Caenorhabditis elegans: one gene and its partners. The protein of the gene in region 1 interacts with the protein of each later gene in a pairwise test. Each region holds a gene or a part of one and is shown in the gene's direction. Other genes may lie near its edges.

Region 1 (6,898 bases):
CAGTTGACACTTTTTTTGATATGTCTGAAAATAACCGAGATATGAACTTTCAAAGATGAGCAAAACTAGAATATTATACTAGAATATTATGAGTTAAAATTTACTGCCATTTTAAATGTATTTTGTAGAGTAGGCATTATAGGCAGGCAAGTTTTTGTGTCTAAATGCTATTTTTGTATTTACATACGTACCTTCTTACCTACGGCTCACCTGCCTAGGTACCTTCTATCCTCTGAAATTTTACATTCAAATCTCGACTATATTGTTTGCAGTTAGACTGAAAAGAAAGGTTCAGTAGACCCGCTTGTAGGTGTAGGCAGGCGTGCATAATATTTCAACTTTACTTTCCCCAATTCTCCAATACCCCGGTTGTATGTTTCCATAACATTTTCAAACCATTCAAAAAACGTTACGCTCAAAAAAAAACCTTTCCACTTTCAAATATATTTTGACTACATCACATCTCCGGGTCTGTCATCATGCGCAAATATGGTAATAAAGGATGGTGACATACTATAACACATCAAAGCGGCGCCCCTCTCCAATAAAAGAGAGCAATGAGCTCCGCTATTTTTAATGAGCCCCCAAAAGTAAAATGAGACATGGGGATTTCAAATTTACCTCTAGCAGATTGTCGATGACACACGCTTTCCGTTTATTCGTTGACGTCATACTCGTCATTCCCATTTGACTTCTGAAAGTTTTTTAATGAATTAAAGAGACTACGATGGTGATTTTAGAAACAACAAAAAAGACTCGTGATTTGAGGAATGTTATTTTGCAAATTTTAATTGGAAATGAGTCAGGGATAATTAAGGCTACAATGTTTCTGAATTGTTTAATAATGGGTCTGAAAAGATCAGAAAGATGCTATGGGAAAACTGAAATTTTTTCAAATGCAGCCATTTCATAACATTCAACTTTTCCGTCAACTCTAACAGGAATGCATAAAAAAAGTTCAAATGACAGATTGCGTAATGTATGACGGTTTCTAATTAGATACAGAGCCACATTTTGAGCGAAATCAATAATTTAAGAAATTACTCAAAAAGATAACCTGTTCCATTTGGAATAGAGTCTTTTAAATAAATCGTTCAACAACAAAAAAAATCAAGCAGAAGAAAAGCACTTTGAATTGGAAAATCCGTTTTCAGAGTCTATTATTTTTATGATATTTTATAAACATAAAAGTAATTTAGGAGGTTTTAAAAACAGTGCTTGAATTTACCAATTTCCACTTTCTTGACTCTTTCAAAACTTTATTCAAAAAATAATCCCGCCAAATGTCGGCCACTCAATCTTTTTTCAGAGCAGAGTAGGCAAAATTTCGCTGACTACAAAACTATAGACAAAACCTTTGGCAATATGATCGTCATTTAAAGTTTTTATCCATGTCTTTTAGTTTTGGAGTTCTGTTCATTTGAAGAAAGCCTCACAATGCTGAAAGCGAGCAGCCCGGTAGAGATGCGCGGCTCATTTTTTGGCACTTTGGAAACATTTACAAAATTAATTTTTTGCTCATTGTTGAGCAGAAGTTTTGTTCTGGAAATTTATATAGATATAGAGATTCATTTTTGTGCTCTCTAGAAATAATTTCATGTTTTATTGAACGATTTGAAAAGTTGCTCAAAAACTGTCTCAAATACCAACGTGCCGAGTTACACATGACACTCGGCATATTGCGATTCTGTAGCAGTTTTTCAGCAACTTTTTGAAACTTTCTAACTTGAAAAGCTTTGGGTGGCTTTACATTTGTCCAAAACATGGGACAACTTTACAACTCGTGGATTTGAATTTCATCTAACTATAATGTCACACTCTACACCGGAACTCTAAAAACAACGCGCAATGAGCTCCAATGAAACATCGCGAGACGTGTCCGAAATAGTGACAATTGAAAGTGTCTGTGTGTCGCCCACCAATTTATGATAAGTGTGTCTCATATAGAGGACAAATGCGATAAGACAGAGAGATGGACGAAGAAAAGTTGAATGGAGTTGTAGACGATTGGAGGTTCGGCTGGTGGGGAGGGACACATAAGGTAGGGGGGACCGCCTGTTTGAAAGGGGGGACTCAATGCAACAATAAACGTATTATGATTCATTAAGTTTCAAAACCAAGTAACATTATGGCAAGTATATTGAGGTAATGTAAATAGTGTCTCTCTCATAGACAGCTTATCAGCAAGAGAAAATGGAATTTGTTCTAAGACAGGCTGAAAGTGGTGGGAATCTGTGTTTCAAACTTTTTTTTGATACTTTTTTGGCCAAAAAAGTAAAGCAGAACATCTTTATCATACCTTAGTTTTGTAACAACCAAATTCGAAACTAAAACTTGAAAAACAAGCATTCCCACTATCGCTTTTACGATATCAACCATCTATTTGAACAAAAACAAAATAAGATACTATCATATTAAAGTTTGTTACTTTTGATACTGGGAATGAGCAAAAAAAGAGTTTCAGTTTTTTTGGGCGTGGATCCTAACTGTAGTATTTCAGTCAAAAAACAAGAAGAGCTTGCTTTAGTAACGCTACTGTACCGTACCATTACAATAAACTAGCCAGTATTGCGTAAGTACCCTGGATATGCCGAGATGGAGCCCACAATCAATGTCGCCTGCTCAATTAACAATTTTGAAAATTTAGGAAATTTCATAAATTTTAAAATATATAACTTCCACTTCGCGATTTTTCATGCACAGCCGCAATTCATTGAATAGGTATTCCCCTATTCACCCATTAATATTTTAAAATTAAAAAAATCATATCTTAGCTAGAACATAAAAATATATCTAAAAATTAATTCCAGATGTTTCTCCACTGCACATGAAAAAAAACAAGCAAACAGTTAATTTTCAAAACAAAAAAAAACATTTTAAATGTAAAAATTGTAGCTAGCTCCAGGCTCCAGTCATATGACGAATGAGGTAATCGTTGTTCGTTAAAAAGTATAAAATCACCTTCATTATCGGGCCTCTCATGGGTATTTAGATCATTGAATTGCGGTTTCAAAAAGTAAAAGTACAAGTCCGGGTCACCCACCACTTTTAATGGAATGTGGATATGCTCAAATACAGTGCTCATTGTAATGGGATGGCGTGGAGGATGATTTACCCTGTGTAACAGAAAAATAGTAAAAATGTTTAACACCGGATGTTTCAGAAAAAATCCCATTTCAAATAATTTTGCAGAGCATTTTTTTGAATTCTGTGTAATTCTTCACAACAAACGTACTGGAAAAAAATCTGGAAATTTTTGAATTTAGTTGGGTAAACAATTTTAGAAGCTGATTTTTTTTTCAAAAAAAAAGCTTCCATGCAAATTACCGGGCCTCGCAAGAACTTAAAAAAACTCTTATGAAAAACATTTTTTTGCTAGTTCAAAATGCTCTTCCGAAACTAATTTTTCTGCAGTCATCTATTTTAATAATCATATTGTTTGTCCCTAGTAAGGCTTACGATACCACAATACTTTTTGGATTTTTCTCTGCAATTTTTCCAGTATAAATGATATTTTTGATCATTGAAATGCCTTAACTTTTCAAAAAAAAAATCATTAATTTATTTTAAAAATATTCAAAAACACGCGAGAAGCCAACAGATCCAAGCTGGCGGAAAACTAGTTGCGTGTCAGAAATTATCGTGTCGCGTCGGGTCGCCCATCTTTATTCATCGATTACCTGAAAAATGTGTGACGACGATGATTTCGAATTCTCTACTCAACCCGAGTTCGGATCAACCAGTGAGATGAAAAACGAAGAGATGCTGGTTCCAAGTGATCCAAATTTCGAGATAGACGGGAGACGCGTTCAGGAGAATATGTATGATGTGAGTTGGGATGTGAAATTTTGAGACAATTTTTTTGGAAACAATTCTTCCAAAAATTGAAATAGTCTTGTTAGTCTCGGAAATACTTTTTTGGCTCGAAAAAAATCTTCAATTTAGTTTGAAAACTTCAAATGCACCTACATTGCTGTCTGAGATACGAAAAATGCCATTTTGGCTCCAATTAGCAATTCGAAAATAACAAATAAATATTACAGCAAGCATCGGAACTCAGCTATACTTACCTGGATACTCCATCTGAACATATCTGGACACCAATTGTACCTCTAAATGCCACCACGGTGCCGGTTACCTGTGGATATGTCAAAGGAATTATGCATCTCAAATTGTTCAGGTGCCCCGGAATTCGTCAGGCTTGCATCGAATATGAATGTATGGTGGCTTTTATAATGTGAGAGAATGAATTTATTCTGGAATTTCAGCACAGTATCTGACTCCGAAACAATTTACGGAACTTGGTGGAAAAGGGCGACAGAAAGACTGGAAGGCGTGTATTCGTGTGGAGAATGTTAGCTTGAGGTGAGTGCAGAAAGATCAATAAATTGTATGCTTTGGTTTAGGCTCAGGCGTATGCTTAGGCTTAGGCCTCGGTTTTAGGTTATGTGCTAGGCTTAGGTTTGGGCTTAATCGTAACCTTTTGCTTGGGACTGCTAGCCACGTTTAATTCTTAACGTTCCAGTTTTAATTCATTAAATTTCAGAACACTATTGGAGAACAAAACCATCGATTTCTATAATCACAAGAGTATCTGTCATGGACAGTGCCAAAGTCGCAACTACATGAACTCAACGGGCAGAGCTCCAGTTAACAAACGTCACCTCGAAGATGTTCTAGCTTCCGGAGATGATGCATCTGAGCCAACGGAGCAAAGTAGTGGACAAATTAGTGAAGAGCCAAGTAATATTTTAAAAATCATGGTGCATTTAATTTTAAGGAAATCCTATTTTTTCAGTCAAGAAAAGAGGTCGTGGGCGTCCAGCAGGCAAGAAAAACAAGGCAAAGCTGGAAATCAACTTTGTTGAATCAGAAGATCAGCTTGTTTTTGAAGAGTTCTTCCAGCCAGCTTTCTCAACAAGATCCCCAGCTCCAGAAAGACCTGTGTGCAGCCCAGCTCAGGATATTTACAGTTGTCTGCAAAATGGTAAGGAGTTTTTGCATATTTTCGAGTTTCACTGCCTCTACCTATCAAATAAACTTCCAAATGATTCCAGATCCAATGAGTTTCTGGTCTCAAATCAAGCGAAGCGGCTTCATTTCTCAATTCTGTGATGACATAATTGCCGGTGCTATCAATCTGAAACAATCTGCAATGACTCAATCCTTGAATCAAAATAGTGCATTTGTTCTGACTCGTGCCACATTTGCTCTTGGTATCCAGAAGCCGATTGTGAATCGAGTGCAATCGATCGAGAGAAATGTGAATGAACAGAAGAAGCAAAATGAAATGATGGAGGACCAGGGAAAATATCAAGAAGATGCTCAAACTGAAGCTGACGACTTGGATAATCAACCTAGATGCAGTTATCTTTTGGAGGATCTTTAATAGATTTTAATAATAATTATTTTTTGTTCTGTACTGTTCGTACCAGTACTAGTATTTAAATAAAAGATTTTTTCAAGTTTTAAGTGCTTTCAGAATTTAATCACAAAATTGTTCTATTTCCCAGAAGCTTCCAGTTCAATAAAAAAACTGACCTACAGGCATATAAATAACCACATTTTTTATTGGGTGATCTTGATAATTTTTAAAAATTAAAAATTAATATACGACTTGACAGACAAAAAATAGATTGACAGACGAAAAATAGATTGACAGACGAAAAAATAGATTGACAGACGAAAAAATAGATTGACAGACGAAAAATAGATTGACAGACGAAAAATAGATTGACAGACGAAAAATAGATTGACAGACGAAAAATAGATTGACAGACTAAAAATAGATTGACAGACGAAAAATAGATTGACAGACTAAAAATAGATTGACAGACGAAAAAATAGATTGGCAGACGAAAAATAGATTGACAGACGAAAAAATAGATTGACAGACGAAAAAATAGATTGACAGACGAAAAAATAGATTGACAGACGAAAAAATAGATGAGGCCCCACGAAAAGGGGAGCAGAACGAAAAGGGGATCTGCAAAAAGGGGATCTGCGAAAAGGTGAGATACGAAAAGGGGAGCTGGTACTGTGCCAAACGCACAAAACGCTTTTTTATTCTCATTCAACGCACGACTTTTTTTGTATTTTACGCTAAACAACACATTGTCTCGAAGTTGTCACCACATTTTTTATTGGGTGATTTTGTTAATTTTAATAACTTTGAAAATTAGTATCTGCCTTAAAATGAACTTTTTTGAAACTGTTTCGTCGGGGACTTGTTTCAAATTGTAAGCGCTTTCAGAATTTAATTAAAAAAATTTTCTAGATGCCAGGAGCTTCCAGTTCAATCAAAAAAACCCAATTTCAGGCATATAAATAACTCAATTTTTTTCCAAACTACAATACTCCTACAGCATTCATACAGTACTTCTACAGTACTACAGCTCCCTGTTCCTACAGTACTACTACAGTACCCTGACCATATCTCCCCCCTAACCCTTAACCAATATCCCTTCAAAACTTTGCAGACTACAAAGACTACATAGACTACAAACTATGGACAGACGAACTGAATTTTTCAATATATAAGTAATGTTAATACATACAAATAAAAATCAATTCGAATTTATTTTTAAAAAAGCAAGAAGATTATTTAATTTACATATTAATTGTTATACATTATGCAATTATTTCCCAGAAAACGCGAAATTTAATGCGAAAACTCAATACCAGTGACCTCAACCTCTCCATCAATTCTGAGTCCAATGTAGTCACCAATTGGATTCTGGGTACGGTGCTGGAAAGTTCCGAAGCGTTCGCGATTGATGAAGATTTGAATGGAATATTCTTCGTTGACAATGGTCAAATCGAATCCGACGTCCTTCTTGAATGGGAATCCACCTTCACGTTCCTCGGTGTCCCAGAATCCATTACGGTGAGAGTTACG
Region 2 (7,278 bases), on another chromosome or scaffold:
GTTTTTTGTCTATTCATTCCAGTCGCGCTAATCGTCATCTCCAAATACAGTTATATGCCATCCGTACGGTAGTGACCAGTGGCAAATCAAATCAAACAGGTTCCGAGTGTCAATAATAAAGACGATGAATGAGGGAGAAATGAGGAGATGGTGGGGGGAGGCAAAAAGGCAAATCGCAAATTATTTTGACACTACCTCCTGTGTTTGTATGCATTTGCCGCAATGGTCATCCGCTTTTGCGTAACACGGGTACAATGGGCGGCAAAATTGAGAAGGAAAAGCAGGCAAAAGAAGGCAAAGCCGGCCTTTCTCAGGGAAAGAAATAGATTAACCGGTGGGAGGCAAATGAACAAGCATGGATTTTTTCGGATCTGCATACATACAAGGTCTACCTATGGGTGTGGCGCTGAATATATATCTTTTGTACTCCGATTGATGGAGTTTCAGCGATTTGGGTCACTGCCACCGATTTGGCCAATGGTACTTGAAACATACTAGCTGTTGATGTAGTAATGAACTTTGTAATAGGTACCTTCCAACTAAATTTGATTTATAGTGTGTTCCTTACTAATGAATATAACAATCTCTTCTGCTAACATCGAGCATTTTCATGCTCCAAGACAGTTCACCATAACCCTAGAGCTGTTGTTAAAAGTTTTTCATTTTACATTTGTGGTATTTCATTAGCATTATAGGCTCTTATATCCTCTAGACTCATAGCCAAACTAGCACAACCTGTAAAAAAATTGGTAAGTTCTGATTTTTGGAGTAAAAACCTTAAAAGTATGTTCTTTTTGAGTTATGAATGTCATAAATCTTGAATTTATCAGGGAGCGATAATTTTGCCAGCTATGAGACATAAGAAAAACCTCCAATAGTAATTTTTCATATCAACTTGTAAGAACATAAACATTAGTCACATCACGCGTTGTGCAACAGTATTTGAGTTTGCTTAGAAAATCGGAATACTAAATGTCTCAATCTCAAATTCAAGTTCAAGCATAGATCTAAAATTTTAACATTTCGATGTGTTTTTTCAGTTCTTGTGTTTTTAACAATTCTAAATATGCAAACCTATTTAATTTACCTAGTTATTCAGGGTGGTTAATAACTGTGTAAGTTCACTTGTTTTAATATCTCGTTCCAAAAACAGAAACGTTGAGTTACTGCAAAGTGGTCGCCATAATTATGGGCGACTCTGTATATTCTTGAACTAGAAAACCGTATCTTTACGGTTTCATTTGTGATAGCCTTTTGACCTTATTTTATATAGACTTATATAAGAGTTCGTATACTCTAGGATTTTGTTGTATGTAGTAACTAAGATTTTTTTTAATATTCCAAGTTCCTAGATGTCATAACCTCTCACTATAGTTAGAACTTTTTGGCCTACTTAAAATTTCTAGGCTATATTGAAATACAATTTCAGTGTGTTTCAATATTCTTTACTGTCAAAAGCTAAAATGTCCACCTAAAATACATTATGATTGATTCCCGTCCTCGTATTGCGATGCCCTCTTAGTCTATCATAAATGCATTTCCGAATCTTCGAAACGAGGTTGAGTAGGTGCATTGTGTCAACTAAAAGAAACATTATGGAATTGTTGCAAGTGGTTCTCGACCTATTACCATTTCGCGTTCTTTGGAAAACTTTTGCGCCATTGGTCAACACATCCAGTTCTGAAGAAGCGCGGGTCCCCACCGTGTCTCTCCGACAACACACCACCACCACCCACTTTGCAGAGAAGAGGGCACAGTGTGTAACTTATTGTGAGACGATTCAGAGGACAAACAAATTGCGTGGTCAGTTTTGTTTTCAGGTGGGGTGGTCACTCTCTTTCATTCTCTTCATTGTGTGATGGAACACAACTACCTTGAACCACTTGTCTGATACCAGTTCCCTCTTCCAATCACCTAGACAACCAATACCAGCTTTTTCCTGTTTTCTCCCTCTCTCTTCTTCTCTTGGTTCAAAGTTTGTTGTCTGAAATTGCCAGTTCAATTGGGTCACCATGTCTGAAACTAGTGACCAATGAAATTTCGTGAACAGTCCAAAACAAAAAATTAATACCATAGGCTTCCTTGTGGGACAACTAGTTATATTTTCTGTTTGACTACTGAACTTATGTTTCTCTAAGTGTTGCTTTCTACTTTCAACCAAACATTTTTTTTCTCATTTTTCCATTTTGCCCCCATCTTTTATTCACTTGAACCTTTTCTCTTTTCTTTTTCTTCTTACCCTCAAAGGACAAATCGTGAGACTATCCTCAATTGAAGAAAAGGAATTTCTGATATATATCTGTGCAATATCTTTGTTCTCCTTCATAATTCACAATTCATTCAGCGCGTGTGAATCGTTTGAATTAATAATGCCACTGAACTCAAATAATCGGCCTTTTTAAGTTTCTCTAGTTTCAATTTCTAACGCTTTTGATTCTTCTTTTTCAATGTTTTCTTCAGGCTTGAATTTACAAACGCAAATTTAAAATTCCAGACACTCCAAATAAAATCAATACTCCATAATACTGCTGGATCAGTAACAACAATCTCCCGAATGGCTCTATAGTGGTGAGTAAGAACTAGTTTCCGTTCTAGTTTCTACTGTGCCATGCTCTTTCCCCTTTTAATGTTGTGAGCACTGTTTTGCTTTTTCATTGAAATAACAAAACAAGTAGAACAAGTATTTGCACCAGCAAGCATCTGGTAAGTATTCTCTTCCTCACCAACTTTACTTTTCTCACACTTTTGCCTATATTTGCGCATTTGGAGCAAGAGCAACACTTCCAGATTTGGTGACAGATTTCAAAGAATTATTACTTTGTCTAGTCTTATTTTCTCCTTGTCGTGTGCCGTTGTTGATCATAATAATAGTAGGCCAAATCGCCGCACCCGTCACTGCTCATGATCCCTTTAATATCCTAGCTAACTCCGAGTTTATCATCATGTGCCTCCTATGGGCACTGCCAATTCCATAAATAATTGTTTTTTCTTCTTTTCTATCTATCCTTTGTGTTATCCTTCTTCTTCCATACTTTACCTTATCAAATATTCATGTATTCTTGACAGACTGTAAGGGATAATTGGAGATCTCGATGATGAATTATCCTTGCTCTTGTGTTTGCAGTTTTGGTAGGGTGTATATGTCAATTATTTCTTTTGAATACTCTATTGAGAATCTATTGAAACCATACTCTATTCAGCTTGAGCTTCAAGGGAGAAACATGCGAGTGATCATTGACATACTTGATTGTAGTTAAAAACCGCATTTTCCGTATTAAACTTGCACCCCAATGGATTTACCTCGTATATCAGTCTTCTTAAGTTTTACCAAAAAATTATTTACTGTTGAAATGTACAAAAACATTTTGCACATAATTTGCCAACCGAGATAGAAGCTGTCAAAGTAAAGCAATGAGAGTACAAGACTAATACATTACAACTAACGTCTATATCATCCCTTTTCTAATCTGGGAGTTTGGTGCTTCCAAATTATTTTCAGAAAAAAACGTCAGCACAGTTTGATAGCAAATGCTGCAAAGGATATGCTCCCCCAGTTTTATGATGATACCTGAAAATTAAGTAAAAATTTTGTAAAAAAAACATTCATCCAACTTCTATAGCACTCATCGGATTTTTTGACAGGGGCCAGTTCTCGGCTCCTCATAATTTTCTCGTTTATTGTTAAAATTTCGAACTAAACTTTGAGATATAAGTTGTGAAAATCAAGGACCATAGGTTTTCAACATTTTCTATTGAACTGTACTAACACCTTTTCAAAAAATATTTTCAAAAACACCAAACTCTCAAATTAGTGGGGTGGTGCTATAGACGTTGGGCACACTGTAGAGAAATATTTGGTGGTATATTAGGTCTCCAAATAAGTTCCGGGTCAAAAGTCATAACTTTGTTCGCTGCGTATCGATTTTTATGAAACTTTGGGAATTCATGTTATCAACTATGATCTTTCATTTGACAATAGTCACAAAATTTTTTGACCACCCCAAGTGCCCTAACTCGGAACCAATTTTTTCAGGCATTTTTCTGATCTCGCTTCTTTTCAAATTTCAATTGAGGTTCATGGTTACATCATTTTTGTAGGAAAAATCTAGAATTTTCGACAAAAAATTTTTTTGAAGATTTTTTGACGACCAACCAAAAAAAATTTTTTTGGACGGATTTTTTCAAAACTTTTGTTGTTTTCTAATAATGTATTCTAAACAAAGAAAAATCCGCACACAACCCTCAATTCAAAGCTGAAAATAAGCGAGATCAGAAAAATGCCTGAAAAAATTGGCTCCGAGTTAGGACACTTGGGGCGGTCAAAAAATTTCGTGACTATTGTTAAATGAAAGATTATAGTTGATAACATAAATTCCCAGAGTTTCATGAAAATCGATACACAGCGAACAAAGTTATGATTTTTGACCCAGAACTTATTTGGAGACCTAATATATTTGATTTACCTTTTTTTGAAATCTTTCTTATTTGTTGTGCATGAGACTTAACTTTTTTTTCATAAACTTATCACACAACAATTCTTCGCAAAACACTACAATCGAACATCATTCCTGCTCATCAAACATCTGCGCTGTCCCACTGTCCCAGTGTCTCATCGCTCGTCAAGCCTATCAACATTTTTTGTCCCAAACTAAAAGTGCAATGAGAGCTCCATTGTATTGCACGAAAAGTTTCTCAGTTTCTCAAAAAGTGTGACATCGAGAGAAAAAGAGCACCGTTGTTTCGAGGTTCAGCCGCCACAAGAGCCAGTTGTCACCGGCGCCCCGGATACACGGAACAAAGCCATGAGACGTATGTTCTATTAGGTGTTCAACTATTGCTAACCTGTCACCTGCCCCGACATTATTTGATTATCTATTGTCTCGTTAATTGATGGTAAGTAGAGTGTGTGACACCTTGAGAAACGATTCCACAAATATCACCATTTTGAACGTGTTGAAAATATCCGTCGAACTAACGTTTGTACTCGTAGTATCACTTTTTCCTATCCGTTTTTCGTGTTTGAAATCTTTGATAGGAAGATAAGACACAGGGAACCCCGAGCTCTTGATGGAACAATGCCTGCCAAGATGTTTGTCAATTGTTGCATCTTCCTGGAAGACGACAAAAGTTCCCCCGTTTTTCATCTTTTCGTCCCACTCTCATACGAATCTTGAACAGAAATTGTTGCGAAAATTTTTTCTTTCAAAAACTGACCTCAAATCAGCGGAAGGAGTCACTTGTCACACTTGTTCTTCTTTTATATATCACACTTAATAACACCTATCTTTTGTTGTCAAACCAAAACGGAGCTCTTGTAATATTCAATATTGAACGAACATTATGCCCTTTCCCATTTGACAAATAGGCCTTGATCCATCCTGCTCTAGACTATAATCGGCTTAACCAGGCCTTGCTCATAGATTTCGATTCTTAGCCCCTGTTTCCTCCATCCCCACAACAACAAGTTATCCAAGGGCAACATCGATGAATTGTGGAATTTGATACTAACGGTCCCGCGGGAAGGTGAAATTGAAGTATTTGAATTATTGTTTAATGCAAAAAGATCAAAGGTTCTAATGTTCTCGTAAGAAATGTTGTATCAAAAGAAACCCATCACCATTGATGTATACATCTTAACAAGGACCGAGTGCACATTTTCCCACAAAACCATTTTCTCAGCTTTTCGAGAAGAAAAGAGACAAATTAGGTGTGTAGAGAATGGTATTGTTGTGAATCGATTAGTCATAGATTGCTTTTTTTGGTCGGCCGTTTCACCCTTTCTTGGCCATTACTAATTGTAAAAGGGTCTTTGACCATTATTAAAACTGGAATACAACTAGAAAAGTTTAAAGCACTACTGACCGAAAATAGTTTTACCATCCATGCAAACTAGTACTACAAAATAGGCTCCCTAAATATTAGAATACTATATAAATGTTTTGGTATTGAAAACCGCTTTCTGGAAACTTCAATGAGTAACTTAAAAGTAATCGTGATAACTAATTCATTATCACCTCTATCATTTCTATCTTTTCTTGAATCCACAAAACGCTATTCGACACCTGCTGTCCATTGCTTACTTACATTTCAAAGCACTTGTTTGCGTGTGCAAGCCTCATGAATAAAAGCATATTGAGACATCCGGTAGACAGGTATACGGTAGGCTGATGAATGCTCAGGGGGAGTCCATCATAACCACCAGCAAAATTTCTTCTTGTCTTGTGAAGCTCCTAAATTGTGCCATCTTTCCTGGCCCCGTATTTCATAATTGTTTGAATTTGTTATAGCAACATCTGTGTGAAATGAATCGCATGTTGACCTGCCTTAAGACTAATGACTCGTATCGCGATGAGCTACGAGAACGATTATGCGAATTTATAATCACAGGTGGTCCCAGTCGAAAAACTCTCCCTCTCTTTAATAAAAGTATAGAATTGGGAAATTGATGTGCATGCAATGTAACATGTAATACATGTATGTACAATTCTTATATTCCGATTTTCTTCGAGTCTTTGAAATGACAAATTTCCGTTTCCTAACGCTTTTCCATCAGAATAATAAGTGGCGCATGTGCATAACACTGCACAAAAGTGATTAGAAAGCATAACATTTCCTGTTGCTGCTTGATGGACCCATTTCCGGTGATGGCACGTCGTCTTGTCCAGGTGTATGTGTGAATATACACTGGGAGTAAACGCTTTGCTCATTCACTTCCGTCGCCACCTACTTAGGAACATCAGTGCGGCTGATCCCCAAGATGGAGGGCTTTCTCGAGATGACGACCCCTCATTAACGCTCATGTTTCGATGTATATTTGCATTGTGTGTATGCATCTAATTTAGAGTTATGATCTATCCCTTTTCGTTTCTCAACTTTCCCGCACATCCACTACCAACTTTTTTCTTGGGCCAATCCAGCCTTGCTGCAAACGTTGCAACAAAAAATCCAAATAATTTTAAAATATTGTATTTTTCCAGCATGAGCCGTAGACGAAAAGCGAATCCGACAAAACTGAGTGAAAACGCGAAGAAGCTTGCCAAGGAAGTTGAAAATAGTCAAGAAGAAAACGACTGCGACATGCTGGCCAAACCGCAAACCCCCACGATTATCATACCTGGTCATGTGAGTTGTCCATTCTTGGTCCTGAAAACATCCTCAGCTTTTACAATGAACGCGTTAACCTTCTAATTAGGATGTGATATTTATCCGCTTAGATCCCCTGCTCTCAAGAAAGCGGAGCAGAGATGCAAGAACAAATTAGGTAGAACACTATAATTA
Region 3 (7,402 bases), on another chromosome or scaffold:
TGCCGTTTTTTCCGTAAAAAACGAATTTTTTTCCTGAAAAAAGCCACAAAAAATTCCGAAAATCAAGCGGAAAAGCTAAAAATTCTAATTTTCAGCAGGATTTTGATTTAAAAAATTAGAACAATCCAAGAAACCACTAGGTTTTCAACAAAAAATTGGAAATTGAGCAGAATTTTTCAGTTTTTACAGCTTTAAAAAAAAACATCATAAATTCCGAGTTACCGTACCCAAATTTATAGCTTTCCTCGGAAACTGGGATTTAAAAAAAACAGAAAATTGTCAGAAAAAAGGGTTTTTATGGGTTTTTTTTTCAAATTTTATAATAAATTTTAATGTCGAAATTTCCAAATTTTCTACTTTACACCCGAAAACAGCCAAATTTCCGCGCTAAATGAAAATTTGGGCATAGCTTCCGCATCCCCGGTGACAAATGTGCTCTATTGCACCGAATTGTTGGTTGGAATACGGTATTTATTGCATATTTCAGCCGAGAATACCACTATTCAAACCATCAATTCGGATAGAGAAACACACAAGTCACATTTTCATGAAATTTACACCTAATCATACTGGAAATCGGTATTTTTTTTTTCTATTTTGCTTGCAGTTTTGGCAATTTTTTCGGAAAAAATGAGCTGAAAAACGTGTTTTTTCAGAAAATTTTCAGGATTTTTGGCGTTTTCAACCGAAAATATTCAAAATTTTATAGACAAATCTGAAAAATTCCAGAATTTTCATGTATTTTTAATACTTTTCTCTTAGAAAATCAAATTTTTCCGATTTTTGAAGATTTTTAGGCTAGAAATATATTTTTTACACAGATAATATTGGAAATAACCAAGAAATTGGTAGAGCCTCTAAGGGACTCAAAAAAACCCGGTTTATCGGATTTTTTGGCAATTTCGTATAAAATGTCCACTTTCCAGATTTCCCACAAAATGGAAGGTTTTTAAATAATTTTTTTTCAATTTTTCTTGATTTTTTCCGAATTTTAATATAAAAATTCCCGATTTTCAACTTCTCCCGCCGCACCTCAATATAGAAATTCTTCTTGAATTTCCGATAATAGACCTTAGAATGGTCAGTTTGTGCCAACATTCGTCCTTTATGACATAATGATGCTGCAGCCGTCTCAATATCAAAATCATCAATAACCATATCCATATTATCCTCATTTTCCAGCACTTGTCCCTTTTCGGGCTCCGGCTTCTCCTCCTGCACAATTGTCACAATTCCAGACGCTTTTTGCGTGGAGTTTCCGGTTTTTTTGGCGTTTTTAGTGGCAATTTCTTTCATAAAAGCGTCCAGAGGGTCCTCTTCGTCGTCTGTATCCATTTTTTCGACTTTTTCTTCCATTTTCACCGGGTTTTCCTCTGAAATTCCCTCATTTTTGATATCAAATTCGTCTTCATCATCCTCATCCTCCAGATTCCAGGGCTTTTTCTCAGATTTTTCATCAGATTGCTCAGATTGTAGATCAAGCTCTTCCTTCTTCTTTTGGGCTCTCCACTTCTCCACATTACGACGCCTACGCTCGACTCCCTGTAGTAATTCGGCTTCTTTCATTTTCATAACTTCTTCGGTGTCTGCAAATTGATAAAATTAAGGGGTTTTTTTGCAAAAAATTGAGAATTTGGGCTTTTTCACACTTTTATGGGTAAAAGCCGGCTGGAAATTCAATTTTTTGGGTGAAATTTGAGAAAACTCACTAAAATGTTAGGTTTTTTCGTAACAAAAAGTTGAAAATTGGCCTATTTCTTGCGAAAAAAACATAAAATTCACACTTTTCTGGGTGAAAATCGTCTAGAAATTCAGTTTTTTAGGTGGAAATTGAAAAAAAATCGCTTAAATTTTTATGTTTTCTTGGGAAAAAGGTAAGAACTCTATGGATTTTGCATGAAAAGTTCATAAAATTCACATTATTTTTTGCAAAAACCATACAAATCAGTGGAAAATTGGAAAAATCGCTTAAAAATGCATTTTTCTGGGTGAAAATTAGAGTTTTTTTTTCGCAAAAAATTGAGAATTCTATGGATTTTGCATGAAAAATTCGAAAATTTCGCACTTTTCTTGGTGAAAAATCGCCTAAACTTCAATTTTTCAACCAAAAACCTTTAAATTTGAACAATTTTCGGCTCTTTCTGTTGACAAATTTGAATTTCAACGGTATAAGGCGAAAATTGAATCAAAAATTCAATTTTTCTATCCAAAAATTGTCCGAATTTCGCTTTTTTTCTCCGGAAAAATTAGAAATTGCATGAAAATAGCAAAAATAAAAACGGCAAAAATAGCTGAATTTTGATGCTTTTGGCATGAAAATCGGCTAATTTTTGCGATTTTCAGTTTAAAAAGTTTTTTTTTTTTACCTTAAAATCCTATTTTTAGGCTGAATTTCGTTCAAATTTCCCAGTTTTAACTCAAAAATTCGAAAATTGGGATTTTTCCAGGCAAAAATTTGCTTTTTTTGGCTTTTTATCGATTTTTTTTGCCAATTTTTTTTGCAATTCCTTACCATTCCGTGACTCTTCCATTTCAAAAATCGCCGTTTTACTCTCTTTTTCCTTCTTTTTCTCTGCATCTCTCTGCTTTTCACGATCTCTCGTCTTCTCCCGATCAGTGTCTCGTTCTCTGCGTCTCTCCCGATCCCGATCTCTGTCTCGATGTTCCCGGTGCTCACGACTGCCACGTGGCGAGCGGCTCCGGCTTCTTTTTCGTTCCTTTGAACGGGAACGCTTTCGTTTGTGCTCTTTGTGCTCGCCGCGACCCATCGAAAACTGGAAAAAATTGGGGATTTTTGGATTAAAATTGGGAAAAATACGATTAAAGTGTGCGAAAACAATGAAAAATCACTGGAAATTCGTTAAAACCTTCGGATTTTTATAAAAGAACAATTTTAATCATTTTTAATTTCAAAAAGTGTTTTAAAATCCAGAAAATCTGATTTTCTGCCTATTTTCTGGCCGATTTATCGTTTTATGTAAGTAATTTGACTTCAATCTTCACTTTTTCACTTAAAAAACTTCGAAAAAAGCGAAAAATCTATGGAAAATAAAATAAAAACCGAAAAAAAAAAAGAATTTCGAAAATAAAAATTTTCCGCACTACGACACTCCGAAATCCCGCCGCGCGTGTTGTTTAGCGCTTTTAAAAATTGGCGCGAACGCGCAGGTGTTCAAACACTGTCCGTCGATTTTTCTCGCATTCCTCACAATTCTGTCGCTTTATAGCCGGCTTTCGCGCAAATTTTTGTGTAAATTACGTTAAAGTCACTTAAATTCAAGTTTTCCAGTGCGAAAAACTAACAAACTACTTGTTGCAACTCGGAAATTCAAAAAGTTGATTCGCAAATGAGCCAGCGATCATTTGGAAGTGAAATTGGAAATATGACGGCTGCTACGAATTCGAATGATATTGCGGAGTAAGTTTAAACGTGAATTTAAATTTAAAATGTTTTAAATAAAAAAATAAATTTTTTTTTAACTTATTTCTCGATTCTCCAAAATTTTGAGAGTTCTTTTTATTGTTTCTGGTGTAAAATTCAACGTTCTCTTCATTTTTCACATTGAAAACCCGTGAAAATCACTAAAAACCACTGGAAATTCATGAAAATCCAATAAAAACCAATGGGTGTGCAAGCGCGCCCCATTGCGAATATTTGAATTGTTTTTCGTTTTCGACTTTTTTTCTCCGAATTTCGAGCCAAATTTCTCTCTTTTTCCAGCGTTTCGCTCGCCACACCACTAAAATCGACGGAACAAATGGAAAAGTCGGAAAATGGGACAGGTTAGTGCCGAAAAATCGTGAATTTCCACCCGATTTTCACCTAGAAACCCGAAATTCCACAAAATAATGTTTCTTTTTTCAGCCGTCTCCCGCCTCCCAAAGCCACTCGCCATTGAAGTTTACTCGAAAGTTCACAATAGTGAGTGAAAAACCCAGAAATTGTGGATTTTTCATCAAAAATCTCCAAATTTTCGCTAGAAAACTAGATTTTTCGCGGAAAAATCCCCCAATTTTCAGGCAATTTATCAGAAGATGACCTTCTCGACGAAATTGAAGACCTAATTGATGAGAAATTCTTTGCCGGAGAGAAATTAATGAGCTCTGGCAAAGAATATACAGTGGTTTCCAGTGAAAAACGCGGTGGGCTCACACTTTACACAATGGAGGACGGCACCAAAATTGGACATCGCGATTTGAGGTGAAAATTGATGGAATTGCATGGTTTTCGGTGGAAAAATGTGGCGAAAAACCGTTGAATTTCGCTTATAAATCGGAGTTTTAGGCCAAAAATGACTAAAATCGTTAAATTTTCAGATTTTTCATGCAACAAATTTGAAAATTCCGCATTTTTTCTTCATTTTTCACCCAAAAAAAAAACCACTAAAGTTACAGGTTTTCATGAAAAATTGCTTATTTTAACCGAAAAATAACAAAAAATTGATTTTTTAATTCATTTCCCACGATTTTTACTTCAAAATTATCATTTTTAGGTCATTTTTTGAATTGAAAAACGGATTTTTAGATCTTTCCTGAGCAAAAATGGGGTTTTTTTCATTGAAAAATCGAGAATATCCCAATTTTTTAACCGGTAAATACGCTGAAATCGTGTTTTTCAGCCAATTTTAGACCTTTTTAAGTGAAATATAAAGTAAATCCACAAAATAGCTGCAAAAATGCGTAATTTTCAACATTTTTGCATGAAAAATCCAAAAATTTTCATGTTTTTTGATTAAAAACTCATAAAATTCGAGATTTTTGGACGGAAAATGCTTTAAAATATAATAATTTCACATAAAAAATGCTGAAATTTTTCATTTTTGCTATAAAAAATTTGAAAAATGTCAATTTTCAGCCAAAAAAGGGTCTCTCAGTGGGCGAAATTACGAAAAATGGCCATTTTTGCACTAAAAATCCCAGAAAATTCATTAAAATTTCCTCGAAAACCCGAAATTTCCAGTGAAAATTTATGGAAAATTAGTTTTTTCGTTCAAAAATTCGATTTTCCAGACAAAATGTCCACAAAAATTTGATTTTGCGGTGAAAAGTGTAAAAAACTGCAATTTTTTTTTTCAAAAATCCGTTTAAAAAGAGTCTGAAAAAGTTCAAAGATGTAATTTTGGATGAAAATTGTGTGAAATTTCACAATTTGGCGCTTAAATTGTCTCAAAAATAAGTGGAAATTACACTTTTTATGAAGAAAAATCCAAAATTTTAGAGAAAAAACCCTAATTTTCCCTCAATTTTCAGACGAAAAAAGGGTCTATCAGTGGAAGAAATCAAGAAAATCGCCATTGAAGATGCTGAATTTGTGGATGAAAAGCAGTGGAAAGTCCGGGAAGAACTGCTCGCCGAGAATCCGATTCGTGAAATTAAAAAATATGCTCCAATATTCTCAGCAAATCGGAAATCTACGCCGAAAACTGCTCAGCTCAGTGTGGCGGCAGAAGCCGATGATTCAGATGTACAAGAGGTGTCAATGGATGCTGAAAGTGGAGCAGAAGCTGCAAATAAAAGTGCTATGGTACGGGAAAATTTCGATTTTTAGCTGGAAAATTGAGAGAAAAATCTGATTTTTCGGAGAGGAAAAGTAAAGAAAAATCAGGATGTTAGCTGAAAATTGAAAAAAAAAGTAGATTTTCAGCTGAAAAATTGACAGAAACGCTATTTTTGTAGTCAAAGCTCGATTTTTCGTAGTAAAAATACAGAAAAATTAGGATTTTTCCTAAAAAATTGAATAAAACAGTGAAAAAATCGTGATTTTGACAGAGATCAACTAAATTCCGATGATTTTTAGCTTTAAAATTGACAAAATTTGTGAGAAATTAGATTTTTCGACTGAGAAATTGAGAAAAACGCCATTTTTCATAGTAAAAAATGAGGAAAAATGGGATTTTTATTTGTAAATTTCTGAAAAAACGAGAAAAATTGGATACATTTTGTGAAAAATCGAGAAAAAAACCACATTTTACAGTGAAAAATTGACTAAAATCTCGCAAAAATCGCCAAAATTGTGCCAATTTTCACCAAAAACTGTTAGAAAATATAATTTTTTAATGTAAAAATTGACAAAAATCATGCGAAATTTCCAATTTTCTGAGAACTTTCTGTTGAAACTTGTGAAAAAACCGAAAATTTTTGCAGAAAACTCCACGTGGAGCTCCGCGAGCATCTGGAGGCCCTGTGATCCTCTCGAGCCGCCGTTTACAAGAAAAACAGAAGGAAAAAGATGAAAAAGAGAAGGAAAAACTGGAGAAAAAGCAGAAAGAACAGGAAGAGAAGAAGCAGAAAAAAGAAGAGGAAAAGGCGAAAAAACTGAAAGAAAAAGAGGAAAAATTGAAGGAAAAAGAGGAAAAAGCGGCACGAAAAGCTGAGAAAAAGGAGAAAAATAATGGAACTATGGACAAATTTTTGAAAAAAGACACGGGCTCACCGAGCAGCAAAAATGCACCGTTATTCTCACCGTCGAAATGGGGAGAGAAGCGGATTGCTGTCGGAGTGAAAAAGATGGAAGATGCGTGGAAACGGCGCGATTTGGAGGTAAAAATGCAGAAAATTTGGAAAAAAAATGGAGCCAAAATGAAAACTATGTTTTTTTTTGGTTGAAAATTGTCTAGAAATTGCTAAAAATGGCTTAAATGTCCCTAAAAATCAATCGTATTTTGACTAAAAATTGTTTTGAATTTGAGAAAAAGCGCATTGAATTCGCTAAAATTAGCCAAAATCGTCTTAAGATTGTCATATTTTTGTGTGAACTTTTTTTTTTTGAATTGACGAAAACTCCTTGAAAATTGAGAAAATTTGGAAAAAATGAGCCAAAACGCTTTGATTTTGAACAAAAAAGGCTCAAAATTGTTCAAAAATCGTTAAAACTGGCTTAAAATTGCTTGAAATGCCTCTGAAATTTTGTATTTTGACTGAAAATTGCCGGAAAATTGTGAAAAAGTGCAAAGAATTCGGCAAAATCAGCAAAATGTGCCTTAAAATTGCCCGATTTTTGCTAAAAGTTAACGAAAACTTGGAAAAAATTGAGCCAAATATCTCTATTTTTGACTGAAAATTGGCTGAAAAAGTGACAAAAATGGCTAAAAATTACTCGAAATCGCTCTAATTTTGATGAAAACCCATTGGAAAACTGAGAAATATCACAGAAATTGCCCCTAAAATCAAGAAAATGACTGAAAATAAGCTAGAAATGCTGTAATTTTTTGCTGAAAATTGACTAAATTTGAGAAAATTGTGATAATTTTCGGATTTTTCCGAGAATTTTTACATGAAATTTCATCGTTTTCATCGATTTTTTGCCATTTTTTTCCCTAAAAGTGTGGAACTCAAAAATTTGTCTGAAAATGTTAATTTTCGACTTCAGATTTTTTGACTTTTTGCTGGAAATTAGCGAAAA
Region 4 (9,247 bases), 1.9 Mb from region 1:
GGAGCAATTGGCTCAGCAGCATCACCAGCACCAGCAGCAGCATGCTCAATCGGAGCTCCAACAAGTTCAGCAAGTGCTCATCGAGCAACAGCAGCTTAACCAGGTTCGGAACTTGAAAATTTTCAGATTTTTAGAGTTTTTAGCTGTAAAAGTCGGTGTTTAGCTCGCTGAGAGCTTTAAAATGAGCCCCATATCGACTAAGTTTGGAGAACATTCAGGATTTTGGGTCTCACCACGAAAATTCCTTGGATTACTGTAGCTAAATGAAATTTCCTGAAAGTTCCACTAAGAAATTCGAATTTCCCGTCATTTTTCACACCCGGATCCTGTTTTCTAGAGCTTTACCACAAATATTAAAGAAATTGTGCATTTTTTCGTAAGATCCTCCGTGTTTGCGTATTTTCGGGGCTACAGTACCCCGAAAATTGAAATTTTGAGCTAGCAGCACGGGAAACCAGGATTTCGGAGTGAAAAGTGACGGAGAATCCGAATTTGATAGTGAAAATTTCTGAAAATCAATAAAAATCCTGAAAAATTGAATTTCTTCAAAATATCAATGATTTTTCTCGTAATTTTTCGAAAATTTCATTGTCAAATTTGAATTTCCCGCCATTTTTCACCCCGGGAACCTATTTTCTAGAGTTTTACCTTAAAATTTAAAGTAACTGTGCATTTTGTCGTAAGAAATTTGGTGCTTGCGTATTTTCGGGCCTACAGTACCCCGAAAAATTTAAATTTTAGCTCAGAACCCCGGAAAAAAAGTATTCAGTGGTAACAAGTGACGGAGAATCCGAATTTAACAATGAAAATCTTCAAAAATCAATAAAAATCCCGGAAAAAATCAATTTCTTAAAAATATTGATTTTTCTGTGATTTTTTTGAAAATATTGCTGTCAAATTTGAATTTCCCGTCATTTTTTACCCCGGGATTCTATTTTCTAGGGCTTTAACTCGGAATGTAAAGAAACTGTGCATTTTGTCGTAAGAAATTCGGTGTTTGCGTATTTTTGGTGCTACCGTACCCCAAAGAATTCAAAATTTTAGCTAGAAACCCAGAAAACCACGATTTAGAGGTAAAAAGTTACGGAGAATCCGAATTTAGCAGTAAAAATCTCCAAAAATCAATAATTTCCCCGAAAATTTACAATTTTTTTCCAGAATTCCCGCAAACGCAAGCAATCTCCACAAGCTCACTGGAGCGACGTTGATAATGTGGAGAATCTGGAGAATCAGGCGACCGCCGCACAACAAATTCCGGCAAAAAAACCGCGCTGGAATTCGGTGGAGCAAGAGCCCGAGCCCGAGGCTCCGCTGGAAGCCGTCGAGCAGCAGCAACAGAAGCAGCCGACAACTGACGGGCAGCACCTGCCGGATATTGTCAAAAATATTGGAGGATTCGAGATTCGTGTCATTCGAAGTCACGACCCGTCGCGCAGAATCTACACTTATTGATTTTTCCCGCCGCCGAAAAATCGAAAAAATCGATAATTTATTAATTTCTCTTGAAAAATCTCCCAAAAATCAATAATTTTACGACATTTTTCATCGATTTTCCCCCTGCGATTGTAATATTTCCCAATTTTTTACATTGTATTAAAAAATGCCAAAAAAACAATATTTTATTGATTTTTTTTTTCAACGATTTTTCAAAGTTTTTCCCGAAAAAAAAAACGAATGTATTAATAATTGTACAAAAATGTTTCCATTCCCCCCCCCCCCCCTGAGCCATTTTTATCAACGTTTTACCCAATTTTTCCACAATTTTCCACTTTTTCCTGAAAATTATCGATTTTTGTGTCATTTTTGTGATCTCTCGCGATTTCTATACAATACATATCTCGACCCCACGACTTTTTTTGTAATAAATTATTATTAATTCGCAAAAATTTGAATTTCCTTGGGTCTCACCACGATTATGGAGAATTTTAAGTTGCAAATTCGAATTCTCCGTAACTTTTTACCTCTAAATCGTGGTTTTCTGGGTTTCTAGCTAAAATTTTGAGTTCTTTGGGGTACGGTAGCACCAAAAATACGCAAACACCGAATTTCTTACGACAAAATGCACAGTTTCTTTACATTCCGAGTTAAAGCCCTAGAAAATGGGACCCCGAGCTAAAAAATGACGGGAAATTCAAATTTGACAGCAATATTTTCAAAAAAATCACAGAAAAATCAATATTTTTAAGAAATTGATTTTTTCCGGGATTTTTATTGATTTTTGAAGATTTTCATTGTTAAATTCGGATTCTCCGTCACTTTTTACCACTGAATACTTTTTTTCCGGGGTTCTGAGCTAAAATTTAAATTTTTCGGGGTACTGTAGGCCCGAAAATACGCAAGCACCAAATTTCTTACGACAAAATGCACAGTTACTCTAAATTTTAAGGTAAAACTCTAGAAAATAGGTTCCCCGGGTGAAAAATGGCGGGAAATTCAAATTTGACAATGAAATTTTCGAAAAATTACGAGAAAAATCGATATTTCGAAGAAATTCAATTTTTTCGGGGGCCCGATTTTTGGAGCCTGAACATTGAAATTTGGAAAGTTGTGCATTACCCCGAGAAAATCAAATTTTGAGCTAGAAGATCGGGAAAAATGGTTTAAGAGGTAAAAAATGCAGGAAAATTCGAATTTCTTGGAAATTTTACTTGAAATTTGATAATTGTGGGCGAAATAGAACGTTTTGAAGCTTTTTGTGTAGTTTTTTTTCGGTTTTCATTCAAAACTGTAAATTTTCGATCAATAATATGAATTCTACGTCTCTTTTCACTCCGGAAACCCAATTTCCAAAGCTCAGCTACCAAATCCTGAGAAGCTGTGCATTTTGTCGTAGGAGCTGCGGCGGTGTTTGCGTACTTTTGGCGCTACCGTACTCAGAGAAAATCAAAAGTTGAGCTAGAGACTCGGCAAAAAATGTGAATAGTGGGAAATTATGCGAGGATTTCGTTTTTGAAGTTGGTTTTCCAAAAAAAAAATTGATTTTTCGGAAAAAAATTTTCCAAAAAAAAAATTTTTTTTTTACAAAATATTGTTTTCCCCGCCGGGGTAACCAGAAATGAAAGCCGTAGAGGGAGAAAAATGAAGAAAGTGACCTTGAAAGTCCCTTTCTGCCATACAAAAAACGCTCCCCTAACCAGCTGCCCCCACACACACAACTTATTCCGAGGCACACGAGAGAGTACACACAATCAAAGAGACGCAGAAATGCGGCAATTTCGAGTGTTGGGGGCGATGAAGACGGCGGAGACCATTCATTTTTGCCATCTGATCACTTTTCCGATTTTTTCTAAATTTTTTTTTTTGACAAAAGTTTTATACAACTCGGTAAATAATTTTTGTACGTAGGCTTACTTTGAGGTCTTATAACTTTGGACTCAAATGAACTGTCAAATTTTAAAGTAAATTGCCTGAAAGATAAAGTTTTAACGCAAATTTTGGTAAAATTTCACCAAAATTCATTTGGTAGTTTTTGAGAAATTTAGGTTTTAATTGAGAAAATAAAAATGTTGAAAATTTTTTTTTTTAATTTTTAAATTTTTTTTTTTTGCATTTTCCAAAAGTTTAAATCAAAAATTTGATATTTTCTGAAAGAAAAATAAAAATATATTTAACGCTAATTCTGACAAAATGTCAAGCAATTTGCACAATTATTCTTTGAGATACTACAGTTTTACCGAAGAAATTTCATTTTTCAGTAAATTTTTCAAAAATTTAAAATTTAAATGGGTTTTCTGAAACTTTAGGGCAATAACACATTTTTTACAATAAAATTTTTTTAAAAAAACAATGAAAAGTACATATTTGTCAAGTTAGAAAATTTGAATTTTCACCAAAATTTTTTTTTAAACTTTTTTGAAATTTTTTTTTAATCCTTGAAAAAAATTTAAAAAGTTCAAAAAAATGTCTTTTCATCAGAAAATTTAATTTTTATTACAATTTGGTTATGTATATACTTTTATTAATATAAATTTATTGATATCCTCAACAGATATATGCTTTCAAAGGTTGAACTGGACATGGTGCATCGATCAAAAACTTGGACAGCTTATATCTCAGTTGTCATTGTTTTTATCAAAAAATCGATAACTAATAAAATGTTCATTATGAACTTCTCTATAACTTTGTAGTTGAGCACTTTTCCATATCTCCAAAATTAACAGAGATACTAGCCGTCAAAGTTAGAGTTAGACATGTTGCATCGACCTTTCCTAACTTTGACAGCCCATAACTCGGTTAATATTGAGCCAAAGGTTGTAAACTGACAAAATGTTCATCATGTTTTTCTCTATAACTTTGTTGTTTAACATTTCTCCCTACCTTTAATATTAACCGAGATATAAGCTTTTAAAATTTAATAGTACATTTTTCAGAATGTCCGACTCCCCGCAGAGCTGCAAAAAGCCGCGAACTCGGAAAGAAACTATTCAAAAGCGAGAAACACGAAGTAAGCATGAAAAACGACGAAGGGAAGAGATGAATGAAGTGATTTGTGAAATGTCGACACTTTTGCCCGAAGATATTCGGGCTCATAAGCTGCGAAGAGTGGATCAGAAGCCTCGTCAGCTGGACAAATGCTTTATCATTGGGAGTACTGTTGATATTATTCGGAATAGTGATTATAGTGAGTCTACAGATTCAAATTAGTAATAATATTCTAATTTGGAATTTTTTTTTAATTTTGAAAAAATTTGGAAAAAAATTTGAAAAAAAATTTCGAAAATTTTTTCTTTTTTTTTTGCAAATTTTTTTCCTAAATTTTCGATTTTCAAAGCTTTTTTCTTTGTTTTTTACTCTAAAACTCGGTAAAACAACTCTATTTCCTCCCGAGAAAAATATAAATTCAACCTATTACAGTAACCCTGATCCGTTTCGTGGCGGGACCCAAAATTTCAAATTACCTTCAAACCAAGGCATGTTGGGTGTCATTTTAAAGCAATCATTGAGCTAAACTCAAATTTGAAAGCCATTAAGCTGAAAATCTCGAAATTTTCGGAATTTTCAGTCAATTTCAATTTCCTCCATTTTCCAGAACCACCGCTGCTCTCCGACCCGCTCGTCCAGGATATTTTCAGCCTGACCAACTGTTTTATGGTTTTTCTGAACAATTTTATTGTCGTGGATATTAAGGGAGACCATCAGGCAGTTTTTGATATTGAAAAAGTTTGTTTTATTGATTTTTTTTCGATTTAAAAAAAAATTCAAAAAGCCATTAAATGGGCAGAGTTACAGGCCTCTGAAAATAATTGTTAGGCTTAGGTGTAGGCTTAGGCGTAGGCTTAGGCTTAGGCTTCAAACATTTTTTTGGGATTAGGCTTAGGCTCAGGCTTAGGCTTAGGCTTAGGCTTAAGCGTAGGCTTAGGCTTAGGTTTAGGATTAGGCCTAGGCTTAGGCTTGGGCTTAGGCATAGGCTTATTAGAAAAAATGGGAAAAAAAATTCTCAAAACATTTTTTTTGGAATTTAATTTTGTAAAATTTTCCAAATTTTGTCCCAGACGGGCGTGACAATCAAATGCACACTTTTTTAGTTGACAACTTTTTGCTAACCCTTAAATGGTAGCAACCTTTAAGCTTCAGTAACTCCGCCCATTTATTGGCTATCAAAAAATTTTCAACCGACAAAAGCTTCACCATGAAAAAAAATCTGCAAATTTTTTCAGTTGACAATTTTTTTCTAGCTTTTCTAGATTTGAAGATATTTGAGTTTATTTTTTTGAAAAAAAAAAATCCCAAAATTTTTTTTGTGGGATTTCATCTTTTTATAATTTTTAATTTTCCAAATTTTTTCCCATACAGGCGTCCCCAATTAAATGTTCCTTGTAAACAAAATGTCGTCATATTTTCGGGGAAATATTATCAAGGTCACTTTTTCCCAAAAAAAATTCGATTTTTTCGGACTGTGTGTCAGCTGACTTGTTTCAAGGTGAACTGGTGGTGGACCGGGGGTGGGGGGGGGGGGATTTGGTGAATCATTGGGATTTTTTCGGTTGGAAAATGTTTTATAACATTTTAGATAGTATAAAAATTTAGAAAGTTTTCGAAAAAAGTTTCAAAAAAAATTTTTTTTTTTGGACTTTTTCTGAAAAATTTTTTTTTTTTTGTTAAACTAAATTTTTTTAAAGTTAGAAATTCTAGAAATAAGTTGTAAACTAACAATTTTTGTCAAAATTTTTGCAAAAGATTTGAATTTTTCGCTAGTTGATAACTTTTTAGTAACCATTAAATGGGCGTAGCTGCTGCCTTCCGTAACTCCGCCCATTTCATGGTTATCAAAAAGTTTTCAACTAACAAAATGTTCATTTTGAAATTCTACACACTTTTTTAGTTAACAACTTTTTAATAGCTGTTTTAGTTTTTGAGATATTTAAAAAAGAAAAAAAAATTTTTTAATGAAATTTTTTTTTTCAGAAACGTATGATTGGAAAAGATATCCGATGTTTTCTGGACTACGATTCAACGTCCAAACTGTCATTTCTCACTTCCAAAGAAATGCTCAATGAGCTCCAACTCAAAAGCTTCATGGCGAAGTCAATGACGTGCAGAATAAAGGAATCGGCGGAGGTTTGGGATTAAAATGTTTTTTTCAATTCGAACAATTCGAAAAATTTAGCTTTAAAACTAATTTATTTGAATTTGGCGTGTAAATAGCTTTTGAATGACACCCATCATGCCTAGGTTCCCGCAATTTTGGGGGAATTTTCCGGGTCCCGCCACGAAAACTGGCAGGGTTACTGTAGTTTTGAATGAAACTAACTTTTTCAATTTTTTTCAAAAAAGTGTGATCACTGAGCTAACTTTGAAGAAAAAAATTAAGAAAAAATAGTGAAAACTAAGAAAGTTACAGATTTTCGAAAATTTGTGAAAAAAAATTTTTTTAAACAAAATTTTTTACCAAAAAAAACTTATTTTGTCAATTTTTTTTTAGCTGAGAATCACAATTTTACTCTCAGCAACCCAGAAAACCTGCAAAACCTGGTAAAACCAGTAAAAACAACCAAACTACAGTAACCCAGAAAGTTTTCGCGGCGGGACCCGAAATTTTAATCATTCACGGAATATAGGCATGATGGGCCTTATTTTGAAGCTCTGGACGTGCTTAATTTGAAAATGTACGAGTTTTGGCTCAAAATCGTGATTTTAACCAAAAAAATTAGTTGTTAAAAAATTGAAAAAATTTTTTTTTCCAAAATTTCAAAAATTCCTAGAAATTTTTAAAAATCAAAATTTTTCCAGAAACCCACGGAAACAGTTTTAGTCTGTGTGCCTGATGAGCTTCCAGCTCTCCCGGTTACTGTACCCAAGGCTCCGCCCATTTTAGCTTCGCCCCTTCAGAAGACACCGCCCCCGCCGTCGAGTTTGGAGGTGAAAAGCCCGATTTTGGCGGCACTTTTGAGGCGAAAAGAGGATAATTGTGTGAAAGTGGTAAGTTATTAATAAGAATTAATAGTTTGGCGGGAAATTTCAAACTTTTTGAGAAAAAAAAAATTGAAATTTTTTTTTTCGGAACTTTTTTTTCTAAAAAATTATTTAACACTATTTGTTGAATTCCAGAGCTCCCCAAGCTCCTTCCTCTCGCCGGGCTCCTCCACCTCGTCTACAGTACCCAATGTGAAACCTACAGTAACCCGCCGACCTACAGTACCCACAAAACGGAAGAGACTACGATCGATGAATGTTATAGTGGAAAGTTATCCGTTGGATGATGAGAAGTCGGATGGAAATTCACAAAAATCGGCGAAAATTGGGAAAAAGAGGTTTTTTCTAACAAAAAAAAACGTTAAAACCTACAGTAATCTACTCCAAAATCCATGCGAGACCCTTAAAACTGAAAATTTCAAATTTAGCTCAACAAGACCTTTCAAATGACCCCCATCATGCCCGGGTTCAAATTTTCACAAATTTATTCAAAAGTTGGGTCCCGTCACGTGGGGTACTGTAGCACTGGTTTCAGCTGTGTCAGTGACATAATTTCGGAGTTTTTCCGAAGCTCTAAGCGTGCGAAAGTTAAAAATGTTAATAAAATTCTTAACATGTAAGATTTTATTGATTTTTTCAAAAAAAAAAAATTTTCTAATTTTTCTGAAAAAACTTGCAAAACTATGTAAATTTTCAGCCAAACTAGCACTATTCCAACTCCGAGAAGCACTTTGAGCCCAACTACAGTAATCCATCCGTCCACGTCACTAATTCAACCGATTCCGACACTTGGAATGAACCCATTTGACATGTTATCACCTGGTTATCAAGATGTATGTGAAAATTATCGATTTTTAATGGTAAAATCAATAAATCATCGCTAAAAACTAGTTTTTATCAATAGAGCGCACTTGCAACACGGTTTTAATTCAAATTATCGACTTTTCAACTACAGCTACTATCAATTTTCCAGATTTGGCTCCGACTACAAAGTGAGCGACTTCTGCTGGAAAAACGAATTTCAGCGAAAGAAGGGGAGCTGAAAAACCTGATGCAATTCGTTCAAAACCCCCCGTTTTTGAATTTCCCCCAATATATGCTCCCGCAAGGGCCACTTGGTGCTCAAAATCAATAGTTATGGGTTTAAATGAATAAAATAAATATTTATTTACAAAATTTGATTATTATCGACGGGAATTTGTTTAAAATACTGCAAAATATACTGGGAAATTTCCGGAAAAATCATTTCGAAGTTAATTATCATTTGAAAAACCGCCGAAAACTGTGAATGCGCAAGGAGAGGTTGCTGGCGCATTTCTCTTGTTGCTTGCGCACTCTGCGATGAAATTAATTTATTTTATTTTTTCATCATTTTCGTTGGGTTTTCATCATTTTTCAGCGATTTTTTTGCAATTTTTTTCAAAATTCCCATCAAATCTATAGTTTTTCTCACAGGAAATGGACTCGGCCGACCCTCAACTCAATCGATTCCTCCAGCAACTGCAGGCGGAGACGCAGCGTCAAAAATTCACCGAACAAGTGCACACGCTCACCGGTCGCTGCTGGGATGTGTGCTTCGCCGACTACCGTCCGCCAAGCAAGATGGACGGCAAGACTCAGACCTGTATTCAGGTAAAAATTTGGGAAAATTTGGCAATTTTCTGCAATTTTATGGGAAAATTGAAGAAAAAATTTAAAAAATCCAATTTTTTTCCGTTTCAGAACTGCGTAAACCGCATGATCGACGCCAGCAACTTCATGGTCGAGCACTTGTCCAAGATGAACGGAGGACACGTCTAAAAATCGATGAAAATCCCCTTTTAACCTTCAATTT

The links.
Region 2: the proteins of gmeb-3 (region 1) and egl-13 interact in a two-hybrid assay, tested with the Caenorhabditis elegans proteins (one large-scale study listed by BioGRID).
Region 3: the proteins of gmeb-3 (region 1) and F53H1.4 interact in a two-hybrid assay, tested with the Caenorhabditis elegans proteins (one large-scale study listed by BioGRID).
Region 4: the proteins of gmeb-3 (region 1) and hlh-33 interact in a two-hybrid assay, tested with the Caenorhabditis elegans proteins (one large-scale study listed by BioGRID).

The regions. Positions count from the first base shown.
Region 1 is NC_003281.10:3,764,861-3,771,758, forward strand, and holds gmeb-3 (SAND domain-containing protein), read left to right. Parts: upstream 1-3,639; 5' UTR 3,640-3,687; coding exon 3,688-3,828; intron 3,829-4,043; coding exon 4,044-4,218; intron 4,219-4,268; coding exon 4,269-4,365; intron 4,366-4,546; coding exon 4,547-4,743; intron 4,744-4,798; coding exon 4,799-4,987; intron 4,988-5,057; coding exon 5,058-5,389; 3' UTR 5,390-5,468; downstream 5,469-6,898. Other genes in the region: C44F1.1 (uncharacterized protein), read right to left, coding at 622-687; lec-4 (Galectin), read right to left, coding at 6,662-6,898.
Region 2 is NC_003284.9:5,661,343-5,668,620, forward strand, and holds the start of egl-13 (Transcription factor egl-13), read left to right. Parts: upstream 1-2,494; 5' UTR 2,495-2,568; intron 2,569-3,022; exon of another isoform or gene 3,023-3,162; intron 3,163-5,145; exon of another isoform or gene 5,146-5,338; intron 5,339-6,506; exon of another isoform or gene 6,507-6,651; intron 6,652-6,977; 5' UTR 6,978-6,978; coding exon 6,979-7,122; intron 7,123-7,278.
Region 3 is NC_003282.8:1,306,877-1,314,278, forward strand, and holds the start of F53H1.4 (PHD-type domain-containing protein), read left to right. Parts: upstream 1-3,289; 5' UTR 3,290-3,347; coding exon 3,348-3,418; intron 3,419-3,721; coding exon 3,722-3,783; intron 3,784-3,865; coding exon 3,866-3,922; intron 3,923-4,020; coding exon 4,021-4,201; intron 4,202-5,250; coding exon 5,251-5,524; intron 5,525-6,144; coding exon 6,145-6,540; intron 6,541-7,402. Other genes in the region: ddx-46 (RNA helicase), read right to left, coding at 1,033-1,586, 2,513-2,768.
Region 4 is NC_003281.10:1,851,022-1,860,268, forward strand, and holds hlh-33 (BHLH domain-containing protein), read left to right. Parts: upstream 1-4,370; 5' UTR 4,371-4,371; coding exon 4,372-4,621; intron 4,622-5,029; coding exon 5,030-5,160; intron 5,161-6,405; coding exon 6,406-6,558; intron 6,559-7,230; coding exon 7,231-7,419; intron 7,420-7,548; coding exon 7,549-7,751; intron 7,752-8,110; coding exon 8,111-8,246; intron 8,247-8,386; coding exon 8,387-8,548; 3' UTR 8,549-8,582; downstream 8,583-9,247. Other genes in the region: pqn-82 (Prion-like-(Q/N-rich)-domain-bearing protein), read left to right, coding at 1-103, 1,159-1,452; ddp-1 (Mitochondrial import inner membrane translocase subunit Tim8), read left to right, coding at 8,872-9,045, 9,136-9,213.